4 linked regions of the Callithrix jacchus genome follow. The protein of the gene in region 4 purifies or fractionates together with the protein of the main gene of each other region. This does not show direct contact. Links are inferred from orthologs where the notes say so. Each region holds a gene or a part of one and is shown on either strand. Other genes may lie near its edges.

Region 1 (3,500 bases), on a different chromosome or scaffold from region 4:
CAAGCCTGTTCTCACGGCCCACAGAGGCCGATGGCAGCAAGAGAGCGGTGAGAAGGCCACGCAGTGGCGTCGCGGGGCCCGGCACTCACTCCAGGTTCATTCTCTGTCCAGGCTGCGAATCCTCCTGCAACACCACGTCCCCTTTCAGCCAGCGGTGCCCGGTGACCTCTGTGGCGTTGTCATTCAAAGAGCAGGTGAGGAGCGTCTTGGAGCCGACGTTTTCTACGGAGGTGGAAACTGCCCCAGCTGCGAGGCCCGGGGAGACGCAGTCAGCACACAGTGGAAGAGCACAGCCCGCGCTGCCTGCCTGACACCCAGGAACCCACAGCTCCTCCCTGAACGACTTGTTTTCGGCTCTGAAACTACACCGTGGCCCTGACACCCCGAGGGGAACATCTGGCTGCACCTCCGGAAGGTGCCTTTGCTGGCAGCTGATGGGCCCCACCCAGTGATCTCCTGTCCAGAGACACAGGAGGCTGGGTCCCAGGTGTCGGGACAGACAAGGCACCCACCCCGTCCCTGAGCAGGGACCAGGGCACAGAGCTCTTGAGCAGCCCCAGCACAAACTGGAAATTTCTGTCTGAAAAAAACAGCCAAATCGCCCCCCGGCCAAGGCTGCCTCCCTGGCCAAGGCTGCCTCCTTCGACGGCCCCTCAGATGCCCGCTGGTGGAGACCTGCCCCTGGATGGGGCTCCCAGGTGACCCCATCCACCCGATTCCAGGCTGACGGCACTGCAGCACTGGGAGCACCCGGTTCTCCTGCCAATCCCCATCGAGCAAATCTCTTGGTTAATTTACAATGTTCCGGTTAGGACTGAATGTGAAAATCCCTTAGGACGAGACGCTGAGCAGGACACAGAAGGTTCTGAGGGCAGCAAGCCTGGACTGAGGCTGGAGGGCCCCTCAGGCTGGCAGTGTGGACAGACACTCAGGAAAGGAGCCAGGCAGGCGCCCGGGGGAGCAGAGAGGGACGGCGGCACAGACAGTGCAGGGTCGAGGGAGGACAAGGACCCACCTGCTGGAAGGCAGAGCTCTGCCCGCCCCAAGCCAGGTCGCCCAGCGCTGGCGGTCAAGGGCGAGTCCACCCCTTCAGGTCTGGGCCCCCCTGTCCCAGTGGTGGGCCCAGCAGGGCAGAGAGGGGCAGGAGGCGTCTGGGTTCTATCAGCAGGAGCGGCACAGGAGGGAACCAGGGAGGCGGGGAGGGAGGCGCCCGCCACTCACGTTGCAGGACTAGCACCACCGCCTGGGCGCGGACCCACTTGACCCTGGGCGCCCGGGTCAGGTGGTTGCGGTCCGGGTCGTTGCTGGCCCGGCACTCGTAGGTGCCCGAGTCCTCCTCTGCGAGCGTGTCGATGGAGATGGTGCTGGCTGCGTGCTGGCGGTAGGTGGCGTGGATGTGGACGCGGTTCAGCCGGGCGCCGTCCCAGAGCTGGGAGCAGGTGTCGTTGGGACCGTGCCCCTCAAACCACCACTGGATCTCCGGCACTGGGCTGCCCACAGCCTCACAGTGCAGCTCCACACGGCCCCCCACCCGCCTCTGCTGGGACAGTGGCGCCCGCACAAAGCCAGCTGCAGGGAGAGCGGGCGCGGAGCCTCGTTAGTGCCGCCCTGGGGAAGGCCTCGCCCACAGGACTCCTGGCCAGGGCTGGGGGGAAGCTGCTTCCTTTCGGCTTGTGGGAGAGTGACGGGGCTGGGCTGCCAAAGGGCAGCGCATGAGAAAGACCGTGGGAGCCACCGTGGACGCCCCCCTGACTCCCACCCTCCCAGCAGACACACTGGCTTCTGATGGCATAAATGAGGAACCACACGTAGCTTAAAACACAAAACCCATGAAACTGGGCAGAACAGCCAGGAATTTAAGCCCCAAGGGCCTCTCTGTCAGAGGACTGTGGGCATGGCTGCCCCAACTTCCAGACTGCCGGTCCCCAGGGCAGCATCCTCTGCCTTCTGCCCGATACCCTGACCCGAGAGATCCGGTGAGCTGCAGAGAAAATAAAATCCCAAAGCCCACAGGGGCAGGGGGCTCTGTCCAGGAGGCCCCACTCAGGCTGTTAGGACGGCCTGCGGGTGGAAAGTGCTTGTGTCCTCAGCAATCTCAGGGCAGCCACCCAGAGAAGAGGATTTGGGAAGACGGAGCCGGCAGTGCCTCAGGGACCGTTACCACTGGCCCACCACCACTCCTCCCTTCAAAACAGAAGGGAAGGCCCCGGAGCTGAAAGGAGCACAGGAGAATCCACACGCACCCTCCCACTGTGCCTGGCACCCGCCTGCCAGGAACTGCCCTGCCCTGGGGAAGCACGGGGAGCAGGCGCGGGGACTGTGCAGCCCTTCCCTAGAACATCCAGGGTAAACATGCCTCGCCCACCTGCGCCACCTCCTGCCAGGACCGTGCAGCCCGTCTTAGAACACTCAGAGGAAGTGGGGAATGGGCGCACCCCACCCACCTGCAACTCCTGCCAGGACTGTGCAGCCCCTCCTAGAATGCCCTCTGAGGTCAGGCTCCCAGACACCGCTATAACATATGCATTCAAGGACACACGTCCGCAGACACACACCACACAGGCACACACACATGCTCACAGCTCTGAGACTGCATAGCAGTGCACATGTCATGGGCCCCAAGGCCCCAGGGACAGGGGATGTTCACAGCTGACCCCCTGAGGTGAACTCCAGGCAGGAGCAATTAACAACGTTTGGCAGTGCCACTTTCACAAAGGGTCCCCTCCTGGTAACCTACATTTCCCAGACTGCAAAACAGCAGCGACGTGCAGAGCCTGGCGAGGCGAGTCAGGGCAGGAAGTGCAGCCAGAGGCAGCCCGGCTGGCAAGCTCCTTCCGGCCCCACAGTGGCCCCCTCCTTCTCCTCCTCCTCCTCCTCCTAAGGCCCTGCGAAGCTGCCCTCCACATCCTCCTCACTGTCCTCACCCGGGGTGCTAAGGCAGGGCTGGCTCCTGAGTCAACACACCCCACCTTCAGGCAGGGCAGGGCCAGGGCACGGGGCAGAGCAGAGGAGCTGGAGGCCTGCAGCCAACCTGCCCCCACCCACCTTCCCCCCAGGCCCTGAAGAGGCCCCTGTGATCCAGCCTCCAGCCTCGGGAATACCCAGGCGTCCTGTGGGAAACCGAGCCAGCCTGTGCCTCGAAGTCCAAGGCTCTGAGGGGCCGTCTGCACCGGTGACCGTGCTGCAACTGGGTCCTCCACCTTCTCAGCGGGTGGACGGCATCACTCCCAAAGGGACCAAAAGGCTCTGGACAGAACAACCGCCCGTGGGCCCTCCGTTTGCTGATGGCGCTGGTGTCTGTTCTGAAGTGCCACTAGTGTGGGCCACAGGAGGAGAAAGCCTCCATAGAGGCTCCTGGGTACGCTGGAGAGCCCCCCACCCCACCGGGCAACCCGCCCTCCATGCCAGGAGCCTCCACTCAGGAGCACTAGGAGGAGGGGCAGTGCCTGACTCTCAGCCACAGGCCCCAGAAAGGTGAGCATTCGATTCTGGCCACATGA
Region 2 (3,500 bases), on a different chromosome or scaffold from region 4:
CTCCAGCCTGGGTGAGAGCAATACTCCATCTCGAAAAAAAAGAAAGTTTATGCATAATAAAAATCTCAACATTAATTATTATTTGTTAGGTATATGCTAAACATATATGGAGAGAACTATCTGTATAAAAATTTGCTCTCTGCAGAAATGTGACATCATAAAGAGCTCTTGTGAAAAAGTCCTATGAGCAAAAATTTAACAATTTGAAAAAGAAAATCTGTATTCTTTAAGGATTCATAAAAATACCATTAAGCTTCTATAGACATTTTCCATATTTTAACATTAGTATTTTATGGTGGTTGGGAGGCCTCTTCTGATGAATTTTCATTTTTAAAATTGTCATCATGGTGTTAAAGGACTGAATTTAATTAGTTTAAGTTGTATGTACAGCTGTGTTTTGATTAAACTTTTTGTTTTAAGGCAATTATAGATTGCTCTGTATTATTATTATTATTATTATTATTATTATTGTGTGAGATGGAGTCTTACTCTGTTGCCTAGGCTGGAATGCAATGGTGAGATCTTGGCTCACAGCAATCTCCACCTTCTGGGTTCAAGTGATTCTCCTGCCTCAGCTTACTGAGTAGCTGGGATTACAGGCTCCTGCCACCATGCCCAGATAATTTTTGTATTTTTAGTAGAGATAGGGTTTCACTACGTTGGCCAGGCTGAAATTAACTTTTTCATACTGGCTGGGTTGTGGCAGTTTATGTTTTTGGATAAACTGGTCTATTTCCTCTAAGTTGTCATATTTATGTGGGTAGAGCTGTTCATGGCATTCCCTAAATACCTTTTTTATGTCTGGAGAATCTGTAGTGATAGTTTCTGTTTTGTTACTGACATTGGTAACTTGTACCTTTTCTGTCAGTTTTGCTAGAGGTCTGTTAATTTTACTGATGTTTTTAAAAAAAATCCAGCTCTGTTTCACTGGTTTTTGTTTTCAACTTAATTGATCTTTGCTCTTTAATATTTCCTCCCTTCTATTTATTTTGGGTTTTTCTTTTTTGTAATTTTGCTTTGGGTTCTTGAAGTAGGAGTAAAAATAATTAAGAGACTTCTTGTCTACTGTATTGTAAAATACTATACATGACTAATATTTTACCTAAGAAAGAATTCTTCAGTGAACATACCAATGCTGTGGAATTACTGTAGTAAATTTTTAGGTTCAAGAGTTAATCAGAAGAGCTCCAAACTATTATTCTTTTTTTTTTTCTGAGACAGAGTCTCACTCTGTCGCCCAAGCTGGAGTGCAGTGGAAAGACCTTGGCTCACTGCATCCTCTGCCTCCCGGGTTCAAGTGATTCTCCTGCCTCAGCCTCCTGAGTAGCTGGGATTACCGGTGCCTGCCACCACGCCCAGCTAATTTCTGTATTTTTAGTAGAGATGGGGTTTCACCATGTTGGTCAGGCTGGTCTTGAACTCCTGACCTCAAGTGATCCCGCCTTGGATTCCCAAAGTGCTCGGATTACAGGCATGAGCCACTGCATCCAGCCTCAAGTATCATTCCTAATATTTACTGACAGCTTACTATGTTGAAGGCACATGATGCTAGCTGTTGCCCAGGACCCGGACCTCTGTTATCCTTACAGCAATAATTCTTCAATCATTTGTTTTTTACAACTACTTTCTGTAGTTGCTTTTATAAGCTGTTCTTATCCAGAAATTGGGAACTAAGCATTACTTTGGGTAAACTACTACTTTTCTTAGCTTCATTATCTCTTTTTATAAAATAAGAGTATAGTAATACACAGAAAGGATCAATCATGCAATCATCTATTTATAGTATGTATATACATACCACCTCCAAACACATATAGCATAGAAAAATACACTGTGTTCAGAAAAGTTCCAATAGTTGAGGTTGACCAATGGGAATAATTGAGATAATACAAATTTCTTCAATAGATGAAACAGAATTCTCATGCTTTGTAAAACGTTACACATCAATAACATACTATTTTAAACAGAAGTGGTAATGTGGTAATATACTGACAGTTAAAAAAATACGATTTAAAAAAATAGCAGAAGTTGATACAAACAGCTACAAATATTTTGGTGTCTTGAAACATTTCCAAATTTCATTAGTATTCTTTATTTCCCTCCCATGCAACACAAAAAAGTCCAATATATTTATATCTTTGAGTATAGTGGATTCTCAAAGAGAGCCATTTTGCTCAACATAATTTGAAAGAGCAGAACTATACTATCCTCCTCCATTGGCCAGACTGACTGAGTTTCTATGAATGTGATTAAAATATAACTCTAAGAAACTATAGAAAATTGTTTAGAAAAAGAGAGGGAAGAAAAATATGTACAAAGATGTAAGAAAGCATTCAGGCTTTAAGGGAAGGCTCAATATAAGATTCTGACAGAAGATGAATGTTACAAGCCATTTTAAAGGGAAGAAATTTTCCTACTTTATGATGTTCAAAGACCATCAGACTAAAATCTTAAAGTAAATAATAAATGAAATGAAGATATATAAAACATTTCTATTAAGTAAAAAGATGAACCTTTTAAAGGGCCTTTTATTTACCTCTTCTACATTGGAAGCAGTCTTAGCAGACGTTTCCATGAAGATAAGTCCATGTTCTCGTGCAAAAGCTTCACCTTCTTCTTTTTTTACTTCTCTTCTAGATTCTAAATCACTAAATATGGGAAAGAAAGGGTCACATTATTAATCAATATGGTACAAATAGAGGCATTTGTATAAAGTACAGCATGGAATTCAAAGTTGTGATGACCATTCTTTTAATTAATATTTAACATACTAACTGTACTATTCTGGGTATTCTGAGGGTTAGTACTTAGAACATATGTCTAGTTTGAAAGAACTAACAATCCAATAGAAGAAGTCTGTGTTAGAGTTCTAAAATGCTAGAACTAGCCATAACTTAAGGGAGCCTCTAGTCCAATACCTATATTTTGAGTACAGGGGATTCCCACAGAAGAGAGCCATTTCACTCAACATAATTTGAAAGAGCAGGACTATACTATCCTCCTTGATTGGCCAGACTGACTGAGTTTCTATGAATGTGATTAAAATAGCTCTCAGAAACTATAGGAAATTGTTTAGTAAATCCAAAGTACTAAAGAGACACTAGGTCACTGATCTCAGTTTGTTTAATTTCCAATTTCTTCTTAAAGCAAAACTGATATAGACAGAGAAAGAGAGAGAAGGAGGGAGGGAGCGAGGAGAGAGAGATAAAAGGAGAAAGAGAGGGAGAAAGTGTAAGCTAGAAATTTCCAATGAAAGGAGGGTATTAGTGAGGTCGGTGGTGGGGAGGGGAGTAGCAGTCTTTTTCAAAGTGTGTTTTATTGTAAAAGTTAAAAAACTTTACGACTATATTTACTACTTTTTATTTAGATATTATTTACTACTATATATTTATACATGGAAAAAGATATAGGATAATATAATATCTATATACTTCCAGCTAGCCTTGACATATTATTTGCCAGATTTCAGGTTTCTTTTAAGAAATAAAATCAGCAATAGC
Region 3 (3,500 bases), on a different chromosome or scaffold from region 4:
AAATAAAACATACTAATCTTTTATATTGTTTAGGCAAACTTGTCATACAGTAAAATACATGGATTGAACTGTATCATTCGTGAGTAATCACCTCACCTCCCTGTATTTCCATTGCACTCAGAAAGTTCCCAGAGTACTTAAGTCTTAACGTTTATAGCTCAACTTTTATACACCACCTACATGTGACCACTACTTGGATCAAGATATAGGAAATTTCTAGTACCCTGGAGGTTGGACTCAGTGTCACCCGTTCATAGACACATACTCACATATACTATTTGTGAGGATTGTTTTGGATACTCTGGTGCTGAAATTTGCTTCCTGATGTCTGGTGTCACTTGTCTTTGTGGGTGACTCCACAATCTAGCCCATTTCCTCTGGCACCTCGGCATACACACTCATGGTGCTCTGCCAGCATTCTCCCAAGGAATAAATGTTTTGTCTCTCACAGATATGGGACACAGCAGGACAGGAACGGTTCCAGTCTCTTGGTGTGGCCTTCTACAGAGGTGCGGACTGCTGCGTTCTGGTATTTGACGTGACTGCCCCCAACACATTCAAAACCCTAGATAGCTGGAGAGATGAGTTTCTCATCCAGGCCAGTCCCCGAGATCCTGAAAATTTCCCCTTCGTTGTGTTGGGAAACAAGATTGACCTCGAAAACAGACAAGTAAGTACCAATGATGATAGGCATTGTCACACTCACCTGCTCCCCAGGGGCCTTGTGAATTTGGAGAGTTCCCTGCTAAGCTCACAGGTCTGTAGGAGGTGCTGGTGGAAGTCTTTTTACCCTATTCGAGCCCTTCAGGCCAGCGGCCTTTAAGGACCAGGACCCACTCACCTGGGTTAATTAAGTCCCCATGCTGCCCCCAACTGGCTGTGACTTTGGACCATTTTCTTGGCTCTCTGAGCTTCAGTTCCCTTTCTGAACTTTGAAAGAGGGAATTCGATTTTGTTATTCTTAGTAGTCGCCTCCCAGCACCTCCAGGCCATGCCTGGATCTCTGTGTGTGCAGAATATTGCTTTGGGCTTTGAGTGAAATTGCTGTACTGTACTTTCAAATATCATTTCTGTTGGAAACATAGACTCTTTGATTAATTACAACAAGGTTTATTTCTGACCATGGATCTCTTTTTCTCCCCTTCCTAAGTGACTTAGTCCTTATCTCTTGGCTGAAATTGGGCTAGGGGTTGGGGAAGGAATGAGAACGTGTGAGTGGCATGGGTGACATCACACTAGCAGTAATGGGGAAGGGACTATACATCTTAAGACCAAGCTGCTGAGCAATTCCTGTTCTGGGATCTCTGAGGTCCCAGTAAACACTCTTCATTTCTTCCTGGACTGGCTTCTTACTCCATTCACAAATGGCTTTTAAGGTTTGTGAAAGGAGCGTCAGAAGGTATGGGCTATAGACCGAGACAGGCTTTGAGCTGTCTTGCTGAATCCTAGCTATCCTGAACATAGCCAGCAGGGCGAGTTTGGATGGGTCTGCAGATCTCCTCCAATACCCTCTTTCTCTAAGTCTTTGTCCTCACCTGTACCACCTATAGACAAGGGGCCATGACACTTCCTGGGGAGGATGGAGTCACTGCTGGCGGCTTCTGTCATGAGCCTGTGTGCACCCTGCTTCTTTCAGGTGGCCACAAAGCGGGCACAGGCCTGGTGCTACAGCAAAAACAACATTCCCTACTTTGAGACCAGTGCCAAGGAGGCCATCAACGTGGAGCAGGCGTTCCAGACAATTGCACGGAATGCACTTAAACAGGTGGGTCTCCCACAGCTGATCAGCCCCTCTGGTGATGCCTGACCACTGACCCAGCTCATGCCTGGCCTCCTGTCCTTAATCTTCTTCCCTAGCCTACTCTTTTCTATATAGCCAGAAAACCCTATGTGGTCATCTGGGAAGGTTATGACATGTTCTGCTTAAGCTTCCAGAAATCCCACTTTGTGGGGAATAATCTAAAAGAGGCAGAGGCCATGAAGACTGAGGCTGCCCTTTTTTTACTAGGCTTTTTCTTGTTTTCTTTTCATGCAATTGGGAGAGCAGGTCACTGGGAGACCCCTATCAGATTGCTGCTTCTATTTAAGGAGGAAGTAAACTTGAATACGAATCCCAGCTCTGCTCCCTACCAATCATTATATCTAGTTTGGGCTTAAAAAAAAAAATATTATGGCTGGGTGCGATGGCTCACACCTGTAATCCCAGCCCTTTGGAGGCTGAGGTGGGCAGATAACTTCAGGTCAGGAGTTCAAGAGCAGCCTGGCCAACATGGTGAAACCCCATTTCCACTAAAAAATCCAAAAAATTAGCCAGGCCTGGTGGCAGGCACCAGGAATCCCAGCTACTTGGGAGGCTGAGGCAGGAGAATTGTTTCAACCCAGGCAGTGGAGATTGCAGTGAGCCAAGATCACCACTGCACTCCAGCCTGGGTGACAGCAAGACTCTGTCTCAAAAAAAAAAAATATATATATATATATATATGAACTTCTACCCCCTCACCTGAAAAATGGGAATACCTGCTTTTGCAGAGTGATTATGGAGATTAAATGGGACAGACTCTTTCAGCTCTCACATACTGACAGGTAACTTTTTTCCCTAGGAACAGTTAAGTAAACAACACAAGGAAGAAAACACAGGAAAACTATTCAAGGGCTACAGTATATAGAATTTCTGATTTACTGTTTCTGTGATTAGATATAACCACTCATGTGAGTTGAAAGTCTGTTTTGATGTACAACTGTGTTAGGGGCAGTGTTGAGTTAAGGCAGGTCACGAGGCATCATCAGACAGTATCTAGGGGTGGTCAGAGGTATGGTGGATTTGGGGGAATATAGAGAACACTTGAAGCGTGTGGTGGCTGTGAAGGGCAAGGCAGATTCTGCTGACTCCAGGAAGCTGGCTGCATGGAGGTAATGGCTTTCGGTAGGGCAGAGAGTTGTTTGGAATGGTTGCTGCAAGGACCAGGGAAATTCTGGCATAGGTGGGGTCTGCACTAAGTGTTCCAGAATAAAAGGGACAGACCTCTACCCAGTGAGGAAATTGTTCCACCCAGAATGCCAGGAGAGCCCTCAAGTTGTAAGGAGCAGACCAAGATGCAGACTTGGCTACTCTAACCCCCATATAATAAACTGTTATGTTTTTCTTAATGTTCATATAAAGGAATGGAAATCCAAATACATGTGAGAAAGTGCTTCCCACCTGTTTCCCTGTTGCCTGGCATCAGAGTTTTTCTCCTCCATCACTTCTGTCCCTGTTGTCTTATAATAATGCTTTTATTTTTAGAGCTAGCCTCTAAGGAGTTAAATTTTTAGATTGGAAGATGGGTTTTATTGTAAGTTAGGGTGCCAGGTTGTTTTCCCCAGGTGGAGTAACATTTCAGCAGTGTGGGCTTGCTTTCTCCTACCTCCTTGCCAGCAAGCAATAGGTGTCACCTGTCACTCTGCTGACATTGCCAACCTTTGGGTGAGTAAATAGCCACCATCGTGGCTGAGTCCCTCTG
Region 4 (3,500 bases):
GAGAATCTTACCCAGTGTTAGGTGAGAAGGATGAATCGAAAGTCAGCTTCAGTCCACGTGCAAGCTGAACAGAAAAGAAATTTGCCAGTAGGTTTAGTCACAAGGCAGGCCAGCAGATGTGAATTAATAAGTCCGCATCTTTTCACAGTAGCCATTACCTGATCTTCCAAGGTAATCTCAGTGCCTAGTGTATTGTCGGTGTTCCATTTCTCCGTAAACGTCAGGCCGTACTCAGTCCATCTGTACTTGGTTTCCAGACTGCCCGTCACTTTGGTGGTCTCAGTGTTGGCTGAGCCTGAGCTTGTAAATTCCTTCAAAGGAGAGAGAGAGGCACAGACTGCACCACAGCACTCAATGACTTCACTCCACTCCTTACCAACTATACTTGCCTTTCTGCCCTGAATCGGGGGAGGGGGGAGGCGCAAGCAAAGGCTAACTCTACATTCAAATAGATATTTAAAGTACAGATGGGAGTCAAGGAGCCTACTATGTAAAGAAATCTTATAGGGAATTCATGGTCAGCAGACAGCTTCCTTCCTCCCCGTAACTCTTCAGTCTGGACAGGAAAGCATCACCCTTCTATCTTGGCTCCAGCCCGGTATAGAGAAAAAGCATTGAGCCAAAGAAACTTCTTCCTTCCAACAATTATTGCATTCACAATCTAGAAGGGACTACTAAGATTACGTTAAAAACTCTTACGTGGTTGAACACAGGTGAATTTGAAAATAAGAAGCATAAGGAAAACTAAAACTGAGACCTGCCCCCATTCTCCTCTGAGTATTACCCACTGCTGAATTGGGGGCCTATTGGCATGGTTCCCCTGGACCACCCATCATGTAGAGGATGCACTGAATGTGACAACCATAAACTGCCAGAATTTTTTTTTTTAATACCTTCTTTTGGGTTTGCCAGCCAGGTCATGACAATTATTTCTGATCTACAACAAATACCCATGTTCCATACAATGGTCGCTATTTGGGTAATGGGTACACTAGATGCCCAAACCTCACCATTACACAATACATTCATATAACAAACCTGCACATGTACCCCCTGAATCTAAAATCTTCTTAAAAAAAAAAATAAATGCTAATGTTCCACGTGGGTTGGACTACTTACCAATCCATTCTCAGATTTTGTTTTCAAATCAAGCTTTATTAAGCCAAATCCTAAAGAAAGAAAAGGTAACTTTTAATAGGTTAAATAACTAACTAGAGAACAGCATCTCTGCCTCCCTCACGGTTGCTTCAAAATGCTTTTTTAAAAGAAGCACGCTCCTGCCACAAGGGCTGAGAGCACCCAGTCTCTGCTGTTGCTCATGTGAAGAGCTCAGCTGCCACAGAACAGCAGCAGACAGAATGGGCACAGGCCCACCTGGGCCCCACCTGCACTCCCAGCAAGGACTGAGAAGAAGACACCTGACAGCTGGCAGACTCGGTCACAGGGCCTCGTGGGCATGTGCCTAAGCACAGGCTAAATATAGAAGCCGCGCTCCACTGCAGCAGCTTCCACAGGGCTGCTCCACACTTGGAAAAGAAAACAAGAATATCCACTTGACAGCACCAATGCGGGAGCCCGTCCAACTAGGTGCAGAACCAAAACTGCTTCACTCACTACAGGCGGCTTCTTCTTTCCCTCACATGAAAGTTCTGAACACCTGACCTACCCAGGTCTCCTAAACAGTTATCGGTCAAGTATCAAACATGCCAACTTGGTCTGTTAGCTGAAAGGCACCCCCTCTCTGCAACACTCACCATAGCCCTTGGTGAAGACATCCCTGGCAGATTTGCCAAGATCGGCATACGTGGGTGGCACAGCCATCTTCTGCTACGATAAAAGAATCACCAGAATAAATACATTGGGAATTAGGGAAATGAAGTTTTCCATCAGTAAAAATTATTAGATATAATTAGCAACCAATAGAAATCACCTAGCACTAAGACTTCCAGGTAGCTTATCCTCCCAGGTGTGGGCCAAGAAGCCTTCACTGTCTTGTCCTTCATTTTGTGGCCAGAGCTTGAGGCATTCAATGAGTCTTTGTTGAAGGAGGATCAACACGTTAGACCTCTCCTCCTCAGCATCCTCAGGACTGAGCCCAGGCCCAGAACATAGCAGGAGTCAGGAAATATTTGCTTAATGAATAAACTGTCAAAGACACATACCCATGAGCCAGTGACTGTACTGAATTGCAGGACTCTTGCCAATAAAACATATCCTCTTACAAAATATCAGCTACTAGGACATTAAATGCACCAAACAGAAATCAGAGCTTTTCTTGGAAACACCATTTTCCATGTGGCTCTGATTTCATTCATTCAACAAATATTTATGGAGTACCTACTATATGCCAGGATGGACCCAATTTCTCCCAAAACTTTTGGACTTTATGGGAACCCACTTCATATTTCTAACAGATAATACAGTAAAACCTAACCAATGTGGCAGCTCTTCACATGGAAAAAACCCAACTACTTCCTCCAAATAAATTAAACATTTATTAAGCTCCAGTATGACTTTATTTTAAAAACCAACCATCAAAGGACTACTTGGGATTGCTACATATCACTAAGTCAATCAATAAACATTTATTAAGCACCTCAGTGTTCAAGGAAGGAGAGCAACTCAAATAGTCTTTGCCCTAAGGACCACACTGCATCCCTGGAAGCCTTTGCTTTGGCATGCTGTATATGCTGTGTACACAGGATTAAAATCCTAATCTGGGACTGTATACTGTGTGCTCTGCCCAGGAGGAGAGAGGGTCATGTGTGAGAAAGCCTCATCTCCTGTACCTTCTCCATCCCTAGAATCATTAGTCTCAACTAACCAGAAGGATCGTTCCATTCATTTTTAAAATATAGTATACCTGAATTATCAAATGCATCTGCATATACACCATCTGAAGTTACATGTATATTTACTCACACAAATAAACACATGCATGACTTGCTCCTGGCTAGTGGGAGGGAGCCCACTAAAAAGGGGTTCCAATGATCCCAAGGGAACAATATCACAAATGAAGTTGCATTCTTGAGCAAGGCTTTAACTGCAAAGGCATTGCAGGAGGCCACAGACTCACTGAGTATGTTGTAAAAGAAACAGTATAAACTTCTACAATTTTAAATTGTGAAGCTGTGATCCAGGTCCTACTTTCCTTTTTCCAGATGCTTTGTTAATTTTATCCCAGCTCACTTTTGTGTCAGAGCACAGAAGAGGAGCAAGCTGTTGACTCTGTCCTATTTTTGTCACTGCTGTGTTATTTCTTGCACATGATCGGGCTGGAACCATGGGCAGGTCAGCTCACATTAGGATCAGGGTAGAGAGATGAGGGGGGATGATCCATTTCACACTGCCCGCCACTGGCTCTTTCAAGTCTGGGGCCTTCCTTCTCCCTACGTGTTCCCCCCTCCCAAACTCACCCTGTAGGTACATCCACCCCAGGGATAGACCAGGAAACCACCCACCAGATCCTTAAGAAATACCCTTTGCCTGACCCCTTCCTA

The links. Proteins that work in one complex are often made in the same cells at the same time.
Region 1: the proteins of VDAC1 (region 4) and BSG purify together in Homo sapiens (affinity purification with mass spectrometry; 3 studies listed by BioGRID, with this or other methods). This does not show direct contact. The link is inferred for Callithrix jacchus from reciprocal best matches to the Homo sapiens genes VDAC1 and BSG.
Region 2: the proteins of VDAC1 (region 4) and RAB2A purify together in Homo sapiens (affinity purification with mass spectrometry; 3 studies listed by BioGRID and IntAct, with this or other methods). This does not show direct contact. The link is inferred for Callithrix jacchus from reciprocal best matches to the Homo sapiens genes VDAC1 and RAB2A.
Region 3: the proteins of VDAC1 (region 4) and RAB7A purify together in Homo sapiens (affinity purification with mass spectrometry; 3 studies listed by BioGRID and IntAct, with this or other methods). This does not show direct contact. The link is inferred for Callithrix jacchus from reciprocal best matches to the Homo sapiens genes VDAC1 and RAB7A.

The regions. Positions count from the first base shown.
Region 1 is NC_133523.1:534,400-537,899, reverse strand, and holds part of BSG (basigin), read right to left. Parts: intron 1,570-3,500; coding exon 1,222-1,569; intron 247-1,221; coding exon 90-246; intron 1-89.
Region 2 is NC_133517.1:16,702,676-16,706,175, reverse strand, and holds part of RAB2A (ras-related protein Rab-2A), read right to left. Parts: intron 2,649-3,500; coding exon 2,537-2,648; intron 1-2,536.
Region 3 is NC_133516.1:73,346,341-73,349,840, reverse strand, and holds part of RAB7A (ras-related protein Rab-7a), read left to right. Parts: intron 1-451; coding exon 452-670; intron 671-1,636; coding exon 1,637-1,765; intron 1,766-3,500.
Region 4 is NC_133503.1:74,330,124-74,333,623, reverse strand, and holds part of VDAC1 (non-selective voltage-gated ion channel VDAC1), read right to left. Parts: intron 2,146-3,500; exon of another isoform or gene 1,931-2,145; intron 1,828-1,930; coding exon 1,755-1,827; intron 1,170-1,754; coding exon 1,120-1,169; intron 312-1,119; coding exon 159-311; intron 65-158; coding exon 12-64; intron 1-11. UniProt on the Homo sapiens protein: Non-selective voltage-gated ion channel that mediates the transport of anions and cations through the mitochondrion outer membrane and plasma membrane.